Arabidopsis thaliana: one gene and its partner. The protein of the gene in region 1 interacts with the protein of each later gene in a pairwise test. Each region holds a gene or a part of one and is shown on either strand. Other genes may lie near its edges.

Region 1 (5,379 bases):
GAATGACATCGTCAATGTGGTGTACTAACAGAGGGATATATTTCTGTTAGAAAACAAATTAAAAGATATGAGCTTAGTCAGGATTTTATTTTATTTTGCGTATAAGTTTCATTTATTTAAGTAAATAACCAATTTGCAAAATTGTAAATAAGTAAATGTCTAATGTGACAGATTTTACCAAAGTATACCTTGCACACTACGCATAATTATGATTTTATGACATTTACTTTCAATTTTTTTTTTCTTTTGTGTTTGTGGCATTTTTTAAAAATCTTGTCCAGTTATCACTATTGATGACATTATTCACCCATGGACTATAATTAAAACCTCCATTGATTGCAAGCCTTTTATACACTTAGGATCATAGCAATAGAGGTTAAATTTTCTTGGGAAGAAAAACAACATGGTCTCCTCCTCACCGGAAAGAATATGTTGTAAGACTTAAAAAAAAATACCTGGAATGGTTTTCGAAATCGGACGGACACTTTTCAACCGTAAGCATTTCCTTAGATTTGGGTCCTTGAGAGATTCCAAGTAAACGTCAGCAGGTGGAAGAAACTCCAGCTTTGAACAACTACCCATCAGTAAATTCTCAGTTCGTTTATTGAAATTATGAATTGAAGAAGTTAGCGTATCACCAAAGATTTGCATATTCACAAACCACCAACATATCGAGATTTGTGGCCTTTGAAAGACCTAGAACTTCCTTAGATTTATCTTTCTGAGAATTCGAAGTGGCTAAAAAGTGGACAATTAAGGTTTTGATTGTGGTGGCCGGTGTACGGAGCCAGCAACAAAGAGCATGTAATTAAATTAGTGCTCTATTGTGGTTTATAGGTTGTCATCATTCGGTTATAACATTGTTAGATATACTAAGAAATAAAACATATCTTTCTGTCATCGGTCGTTTTTACAAATGACTAACATATATTTACCGTAATTACTTTAGAAAGCTTCGGCATCTGTTTAAAGTAATAAATCATCAACATGACTTGAAAAACAAAAAAATGCAGATATACTAACTAGTACTGCTATATATATATGAATAAAATTTCTATATAGTTCTTTTTAAATGTATGATTTCTGTTATTACTAATACACATTGGAAAATGGTTGGGGCAATAGAGAAAGACAGACATGTGAACGTCACTTTCTTTTTAGCTGTCCTCTTGGGTCGGGCATATCTATATTCCCTACCATTTATTCACTATACCCACCTTTGTCATATTCTTCCATTCTCAAATTCAACATATTTGAAAATTTCTCATTTTCTTTGGATTTTATGTATTTCTACACCTCCATAAAATGAAAGAATAAATGAATTTCAATGAGAATATATAGAGAAAATGTATGCAAAATTCCAATGACAGCTTGCAAATATAGCCTTTTCTTTGGTTTGTCTCTTTTAATTATTAGGAAGAACATTTTTACACATATATATGAAAATAACATATCTGAATAACGTATTTTTTGTTAAAAGGAATTACGGATCGGTGAGTCTAGTGACTATATACATCGATATTATCGACTAACAATGAGAGGTATTGTCGTATTGATCATATTGTGCCTTGTGGTATTTATCCTTCCAAGTTGTAACCATATTTATGTCCTATATATGACTACGAATGCAATGTTCCATAGATAGAAGAAATTTACATCACATACAAAGTCTCTCTTCAAGTAGAGTCAACGATAAACTTATTAAGCACATAATGCAAACAAATGTCTGAATCGTACATCAAACACAAACTCAAATATTATAAAATGATGACCACTAATAATTTGAGGGAAAAAAATGAAGGTAAATTACAAGAAAACGATCGAGGCTGACCAATTCAATAATCATTTCAAACGAGGAGAAAATGGGCTGCAACAACTCCAACAACGCATGAAAGTGTTACGACGTTGTTTCTAACATTGAAAGCTCCTGAATCCGGCGAAGCCGCCATTGCCGGTGGCATGGGTCCTGGAGAAGGTGAAGATTCCATTCCGGATGGCATCGGCGGCGAAGGCATATCCGGAACTGTTAATGGGCTTGGGCTTGTAGATGGAGTCATTGGCATCATTGGTGGTGAAGCCATGGGCATTGGTGGTGGAGCCATAGGCATAGGTGGTGGAGTCATGGGCATGGGTGGTGGAGTCATAGGCATAGGTGGTGGAGTCATCATTGGCATCGGAGACATCACTGGAGGAGGAACCGAGCTTCCACCGCCGCTAGACATAGGCGGCATGGACATTGAGCCAGAAGGAGCCATCATGGGAGCTTGAGCTAAAGAGAAAGGAATTAAAACCATAGACAATGTGAGCAAGAAGAAGGCTTGTGAAGAGAAAGAAGAGGCCATGGCTATGTGTGTTTGTGTGTGGAATAGTCGTTTATGTAAAGTGATATATAGACAGAGATATGTGTGAGAGTAGTAAAAGAAAGAGTGGGAGAGAAAAGTGAAGGTTCTTTGTGCTATTTGGATATATATTAGAGATTATTTGTTTTATAATTTTGGATCGTTGGATACAATGTGTGACACGTATCAGTCGATGGATAGGTATGAGATGCTGATTTATTTTCCTCCACAAATTGGAAAGAAAAAAAAGATGAAAACTCCAAAGTTGAAATCTCATTGTAGGTACAGATAGAATAGTCAATATATATGGAAATGGAGGATATTATGATTACAATGCCTTTTATATTTATTCTTTTAAAGACATAGTGGAAACGATCAATCGGATTCACGGGATGGTTTTTAAGGGGCCATATCAAATTTATTAGAACAGGTCATTACTGATGTTAGCCATTCATATGTTAGAACATTAATGTTCATTTTGTTTTCTGTAAATTTAACAGAAAATTTATGATAACCATATCAAGATATTCTATAATATTATCAGGAGAAGACAAAATTTACATAGGACAAGATAAAAGAGCATAATGCTATGTTACAAAACAAAAAACGAAAAACAAAAGGGACCATTTGTGTTGTATTTAGTCACACAGCCTGATTTAGCTCCACGGCCAATATTATGTCCGCACCAACTAACCGACATTTTGGTTACCCCATACCATTTCCTTTGTCTCTCACGAGCACTCTTTGGCCATCATTTACTATTTATCCATCTTTACATTATACCATCACAAATGCACATGTTCCATATATGATATAACCATCCATACATAGTCATGCATGCATGTATATATATATTTTATGGGATTACTTTCATTTGAAATTGACGACTAATGTTGTTTTCTGTAACCATGAACTCCAGTTTTTCTCTTTGCATGTTATAAATTGAACTTCTAGAGCATCAAAAACATTAGGTAACCAATAATAGTATTTGAGAAGGTTATTCAAATATATAGTTCGAAATGCAGCAAGTTTTAGCATCTTGAATAATTGCATTGTTCTAAAAATTATCTACAAGACTACAATCAATGAAACATTTCCAGGCTATATGGGCTCATTTAAAATGGGCCTGTAGACGCATGAGGCCGTAAATAATCCAGCTGGCAAAGAAATGAGCGGGAACATTTTTATGTACAAAATCCTCGAAACAAAACATCACACGTACCGCACGTGCCATTCTCCCGCTCCTTCTCCATTTGCCCCCCAAATCTCAAATTCTCAAATCCCTAGCTTCTCTCTCTCTCCCTCAGATTCACAGCATTTGCAATGTCAGAAAACTCGGAACCGCGTCAACTCGAGAATTCTACAGCCGGAAGAGAGCTCATTCCTCTTAGTCCCACCAATTCAGACGGCAACGACGACCTTAACTATCATCTGCATGCTTTTGAGTTATCTCGTCTCCTACTTTCTTCTGGTCATCCAGAATCTGTTATAGATCTTTCTTCAAAGTGTACATACTTCCAAGGTTCTCCTAATCTCGTCAAATATCTTTGCTCGATCCCTAATTCTCCTATTTCCCTTGCCGAAGATGGCTTCACTGTGACTCTCTCGCCTGAGTCTCCCTCCGCTCCGGCTAGTTTCGCCTGTAGTTTGGATTTGCAGGAAAATGTTGTGTTAGAACAGTTTATGGATCCGAGATCTCTCACGCTAAAGCATTCGAGAGGTACTAAGTTTTTGCAATTTTATCTGATATTGCGGTTTAGTAGGTCACACTTACATAGAGATTCTCTTCTCAATTTTGGGTTATTTATGGTAATGTATCAGAGAATGCGGAACAAGAGGAGCTAGAGCTCATGCCATTGCCCAAAAGAAGTCGAAATGATGGAAACGATGTAAGTAATCTCTTAAGATATATATGAAGTTCTCACGGTATGGTTTAGTGGGTGGTTGATTCATTGTGTTATTGATTATTTTCTCTAGGTGAATTACTCTGTAATAGATAGCAGACCTAACGACATCAGAACTGTTGCCTGTGGAACTATGCTTGGGACTATTTTAGCTCTTGAATCCCAAGCTTCGGTTTTCAATTTAAGTGCATCTAACCGAGGAATAGAGGCTTTTGTTCAAGATCATCAGCCTGGTCCGCAGACATCCAATGCTTCAGTGGATGTCAATCCTACACATCGGTTAGAGGAAAGCAAGAACGATTTGCCATCTCCTCAGGAGGATGGATATTACGAGCGACCTGAAATTGGAGATTTCCAAATTGCTGACAACCAAATATTAATCGAAGAAGGTGATGATAAAAATAAGAAGGATCTCTTCCCTAAGGGAGAGATACAAACTGATTCTGTGCAGTCCGATCCCGTTGCCTCATTGATGCCAACAGAAAATGAGTTAGAACCAGTGCAGATTGTGGATGACACTGAAGATCTACTTGTAGATGATCACACTGTAGACATCGTTAGCACCCCTGACAGAGAGCTGCCGTTGAAGCCTTCTGCTACAGAAGCTAATCAAGATAAATCTTTGGTACAAAAAACTCTGGATCAATGCAAATTGCCGGGAAACAGCAAAACGTACAGCTGTTCCCCTGAGATAAAACACACCAGAAAAAGTAAAGTTATCCAGAAGAGGAAGCAGAATTTTAACACCGTTCGTCTTAAAGATCAGAAGGTAGACATGTCTCTTTCGTCTAGAGTGAGGCCTTTATATAATGTTAACTACGTTAACACTCTTGCACCGAATTTTAGCATTAATGCACACTATATTAAAAGTTCTCTTCTCATATTTGTGGTTTAGGATCAGGCAAAGCATAACACAATTCCAGATTTTGATTCTTACACTATTGTAGAGGAAGAAGGTTCAGGTATTTCTTTCCAGTCTATTTCATCTATATTCCTCATTCTATTGTAACAACTTAACTAGTTATTGACTAATCACTGGTGAAATCCAAATGTAGGTGGCTACGGGATTGTTTATAAGGCAACGAGGAAAACTGATGGAACAGAGTTTGCAATTAAATGTACGGGAAAGAAAATGA
Region 2 (5,197 bases), on another chromosome or scaffold:
TAATTTCCGACGCCGTCTCAATCCTAACACACCACCGCTCCAAATCCCGTTGGTCCACTCTCCGATCACTCCAGCCTTCAGGCTTCACACCTTCTCAATTCTCCGAAATCACTCTCTGCCTCCGCAACAATCCTCACCTCTCTCTCCGTTTCTTCCTCTTCACTCGCCGTTACTCTCTCTGCTCTCACGACACACACTCCTGCTCAACTCTCATCCACATCCTCTCTCGATCTCGTCTCAAAAGCCACGCTAGTGAAATCATACGTCTCGCTCTCCGTCTCGCCGCCACCGACGAAGACGAAGACAGAGTCTTGAAAGTGTTCCGTTCGTTGATTAAGAGTTATAATCGATGTGGCTCTGCTCCGTTTGTATTCGATTTGTTGATAAAATCTTGTCTTGATTCGAAAGAGATTGATGGAGCTGTGATGGTTATGAGAAAGTTAAGGTCTAGAGGAATCAATGCACAGATTAGTACTTGTAATGCTTTGATCACAGAGGTTTCTAGGCGTAGAGGTGCTTCTAATGGATATAAGATGTATAGAGAAGTTTTTGGTTTAGATGATGTTAGTGTTGATGAAGCTAAAAAGATGATAGGTAAGATTAAGCCAAATGCGACCACTTTTAATTCGATGATGGTGAGTTTTTATAGAGAAGGTGAGACTGAGATGGTGGAGAGGATATGGAGAGAAATGGAGGAGGAAGTTGGATGTTCTCCGAATGTTTATAGCTATAATGTTTTGATGGAGGCGTATTGTGCGCGAGGTTTGATGAGTGAAGCGGAGAAGGTATGGGAAGAGATGAAGGTGAGAGGAGTGGTTTATGATATTGTGGCTTATAACACTATGATTGGTGGGCTTTGTAGTAACTTTGAAGTTGTGAAAGCGAAGGAGCTTTTTCGAGATATGGGGTTGAAGGGGATTGAGTGTACTTGTTTGACGTATGAGCATCTTGTTAACGGGTATTGTAAAGCGGGGGATGTTGATTCGGGTTTGGTTGTTTATAGGGAGATGAAAAGGAAAGGTTTTGAGGCAGATGGTTTAACAATTGAAGCGTTAGTTGAAGGGCTATGTGATGATAGGGATGGACAGAGAGTTGTTGAAGCTGCGGATATCGTGAAGGATGCGGTGAGAGAAGCAATGTTTTATCCTAGTCGGAATTGTTATGAGTTGTTGGTAAAGAGGTTGTGTGAAGATGGGAAGATGGATAGAGCATTGAACATTCAGGCTGAGATGGTTGGGAAAGGATTTAAGCCGAGTCAAGAGACGTATAGAGCTTTTATCGACGGGTATGGAATAGTAGGTGATGAGGAAACATCAGCATTGTTGGCCATAGAAATGGCTGAATCACTCAAGCTAAGAGCAGAAGAAGAAAGCTAGAAAAGTTGAGCTTCGTTGGTAAGCTGGTGAAGCAAAGATGACAAAACCACATAGAAACCAATTGGTGACACAATGTGGACAAGTTTTGTGGTGGTACGAGAAAGCGGTAAGAAGTGGTACACATTGTAAGATGATACAACGTTACCCATTAAAGCTATAATGATGAAAGAGGAGATTTATTCCACACTAACACCTCATGATGATATCTTATTGCTGAAGCAATTCTTATTCAAATCACATTCATTGATAGAGTTACGAGGAGAGACAGATCGTACAAAGCAATCACTCTTACATGAAAAAAAAAAGACAAATGGAAAAAGAAACTGAAGAGTTAACTTAAAAGATAAGAGCCCAGACGGGGAAGACGACGAGACAGATGATCCCGACGGTGTTGGAGATACCATTGGCTTTAGTAAATGCATTTCTGAATCCACCTGAAGCTCTAATGTGTTCTTGAAGCAAGTAACATCCAATACCTAAACATATAGCTAAACCAATCCAACTGTCTCTGAATGTGCCAGCAATCAAATTTGGTGCCACCACGGCGAGAAGAACCAAAGCCACCGGTAATTCCAGGTATTCTAATAACACAAACAACAGAGATAAGCCAAATCAGAATCAAAGTCTTGTTGCTTGTAATGGAGAGTGAATGAAAAAAAGTAGACAAACCTCTGGCGTGTTTAGGAAAGAAGAGTTGTACAACAACAGCTACGAAAGCAATCCATTTACCAATTTCTCCTCTGTCAAAGTTTCAGACACAAGTTAGGGTTTAGGAACATAATGATAAGTAAAGAAAAAGTCTCTGGCTTTTGTTGTGTTATACCTGAAAATACCAAAGATCAAGGAAGGAAGACTGAAGAAGATGTAAGGAATGAGAAGTGATGTGAGCATATTCGTCTTCCAATTGGTTCGATCCAACACCAACAAGTATCTGCATTTATTACATCAAAACCTCATCAAGATCAACACAAGAAACGGATAGAGGAAAGAGACATAGAAACAGAGAGAATGGTTACATGGCGGCGATTGAAGCAACCCATTCGAGGACAGAGGTACCAAAGCCTAAACCAGTGAGTGTGAAGGCGTGTGTAGCTAGGTTCTTAGCAGCGATAGTGAGCTCGTTGAAATCGGATCCGATCATGGCCTTAAGGGTTCCATGGTCATTCCTCAACGACTTCATAGGCATCTTTTCTTGCCGGAGAAGAGAGAACTATGAATAATTGATGTGAGAAGAGAAGAGAGTAAAGAGTAGATAGATGGTGATGAATGTGTTGGAAGACTTTGGTTATAAAGATATTACAAGTGACTCGATGGATACGTTTACGCCACGTGGCAGTTATGAAAATAGTTTAATTTGGACGAACTAGATATTTTATCTATATTAACAATGATATAGTATAGTTTACTTAATAAGCTAATCCGATTTCTGACATAGACCTTAGACACATGTCGACACCAACTTCTCACACATGAACGTTCTAATAAGTTTGCTTTAACAAATGTAATTGGTGGACGTAAGAAACAATGGGACGAGCCAGCTGTCCAGTTGTATTTTTTTTTAATGATAATATTTATTACAATGCAAATAATTAGATATGTTATGGTGGAATCTCTTAACATGGATATATTAAGAATGGGAAAAATCAACATCTAAATCATAGGGTATGTCGGTATACATTAAAGTCAGAGATCGTCAAATCCAACTAAATAATAACAATATGCTTCAAGCAGATTTATTATATTTAGCCAATAAGTTGTATGGATTCGTTGAAGTTTTCATTCTATAATTAGACCATATGGTTTTACAGTTTTCTACTGTAAATGAATTCACAAAAATCTAAATTAAAAAAAAATAGAAAAATACTTAATTATAAAGAGATACTAGTTCGATAATCATATATGTAACTAAGTATAAATAAAACCAAATAGAAAATGTGCAAGTAAATTGTTGAGCTAAAAAATCAGATGAGATGGATCAAAATCCAATCAGTTAATGGTTACAAAAAAAAAAAAAAACAGAGTGGCAGAAGTTATGGTTTTTAATATGATTATGTGATGTCGGCAGAAGATTTGTCTTGAGTAGGACCAGCCAAATAAAAATAAATTTTGTTTTACCATATTAAAGTTGTTGTTGACGGAAAGAAAAAAATGTAACATGCTCCAGAATCGTAACAAGTAAGAGAGTATCGAACTCTCATTACGGTAACGAAATACAGATTCATCCCTAGCATAACTACATAAGCGACATAAGCTATGAATCAGAGTCCAAAATAAAATTAGAATTTTTCGTTTTTCAGTTCTGATTTTTTTTAAAGATTTAAGCCTAAAACCTAAAATGTTTAATAACTCATGAGAGTTGAACCCAATTTTTTCTTTTTTCTTTTTCGTTTTGATGATTTTAGTTTTTAATCAGTATTTGTGATCTTTCCATATTATATTTATGTCGTTTATGATAATTAAAAATAAAACTAAAATTTTACTTGGAGTAAAACCCTCAATATTGTTGGATCGGTCCTGAATATGACCTCACTAGTTGTTACTCGGTTAAAGAGTATCACGTTAAATAAGCTGCTGAGTGCTGACACTACGCTCCACAATATCCATATTAAATAATAGAAACTTAGTTTAACCAGAACGGGAAAAATGTCATTTAAATCACGACTTCGCAATTTGTGGTGCTTTAAACATAAACTTTGTACTTTGTGATTAAAATCATCAATTACGTGTTGACTTCAGATAAAATCACTAACTTTCGTTGACAGAGCCAAATTAGTCACAACATCAACTGAATAAACAGAGCAATTAGAAGATGTGATTTATCCGTTAATGAGACCGTTTAAGAGCAAAACGACGTCGTTTGCAATTGAAACAAAAACAGGAAAAATGCCATATAAATCATGACTTCGCCATTTGCAGTGCTTTAAAGCATGAACTTTGTGCCTTGCAATTCACTTTGATTTCAAAATACAGGAGTGAATTCGAAGAAGAAAAGAAGAAGAGATTTGAGGATCTAGGGTTTCTTATTTCTGAATTGGGGATTTTTGTTTCAATTGCAAACGACGTCGTTTTACTCTTAATCGTACTTATTAACGGATAAATCACAGCGTTAATGAAAATCTAGAATGGCCTGTAAAAATTCTCCCATATATCTAATTTTGAAATAATTTTGCTGGAATAGAGTTTAGTTGATAAGATACACTTCAAGTGTTTTGTGTTGAAGGAAAGAACTATATGATCGTCATGTGGATCAAAAGCCCAAAGCCCAAAGCCCAAACCTTTTGTAACCGTTGTTTCCGTCTGGGCCAAAAGCCGAAAGCTCATTTGGTATCAATAAAAAAAAAAAAAAATCGTTATCTGTATTGAATATTGATGATATCTTCCAGCAATCTCATTCATGATTGGCCACTTCAAAATCTTTCAATCAAATTTTAGTTTTGGGTTCCCTCAGAATTCCTACGTTATTAGAAAAATTATAATCATTTCTTGTTTTATTTCTTACTGAATGATGCGAATGTTCCTAATTACAGAGTGAATAGAAAGTTCCATCTTCATATAAATCCCGGTTAATAATAATTGAACACTATTGATTAAAGTAATAAAAATATGTTTCTCAAACACATTACTTTCACAGGTTTACAAGGAAACTTAAAAACATGGTCTGCACAAACAAAATCTGATATATAGACATACTACATGTAGTTTCTAGATATATATATACACATCACCAAAGAAGAGATCTAGAAGTAGTTGGGTATGGAAAGATCACCAAGGAACAAAACGGTCCATGAGAAGACAAACAGTGAGCTCAGACATAGTTACAG

What was found. Proteins that work in one complex are often made in the same cells at the same time.
Region 2: the proteins of AT4G16980 (region 1) and COR413-PM1 interact in a protein complementation assay, tested with the Arabidopsis thaliana proteins (one large-scale study listed by BioGRID).

The regions. Positions count from the first base shown.
Region 1 is NC_003075.7:9,554,050-9,559,428, reverse strand, and holds AT4G16980 (arabinogalactan-protein family), read right to left. Parts: upstream 2,647-5,379; 5' UTR 2,343-2,646; coding exon 1,848-2,342; 3' UTR 1,490-1,847; downstream 1-1,489. Other genes in the region: AT4G16983 (uncharacterized protein), read left to right, coding at 1,960-2,110, 2,153-2,268; AT4G16970 (Protein kinase superfamily protein), read left to right, coding at 3,663-4,059, 4,161-4,228, 4,317-5,012, 5,139-5,205, 5,299-5,361.
Region 2 is NC_003071.7:6,947,528-6,952,724, reverse strand, and holds COR413-PM1 (cold regulated 413 plasma membrane 1), read right to left. Parts: upstream 2,875-5,197; 5' UTR 2,563-2,874; coding exon 2,393-2,562; intron 2,308-2,392; coding exon 2,200-2,307; intron 2,117-2,199; coding exon 2,046-2,116; intron 1,958-2,045; coding exon 1,713-1,957; 3' UTR 1,700-1,712; coding exon of another isoform or gene 1,665-1,699; 3' UTR 1,533-1,664; downstream 1-1,532. Other genes in the region: AT2G15980 (Tetratricopeptide repeat (TPR)-like superfamily protein), read left to right, coding at 1-1,376; AT2G15960 (stress-induced protein), read right to left, coding at 5,139-5,197.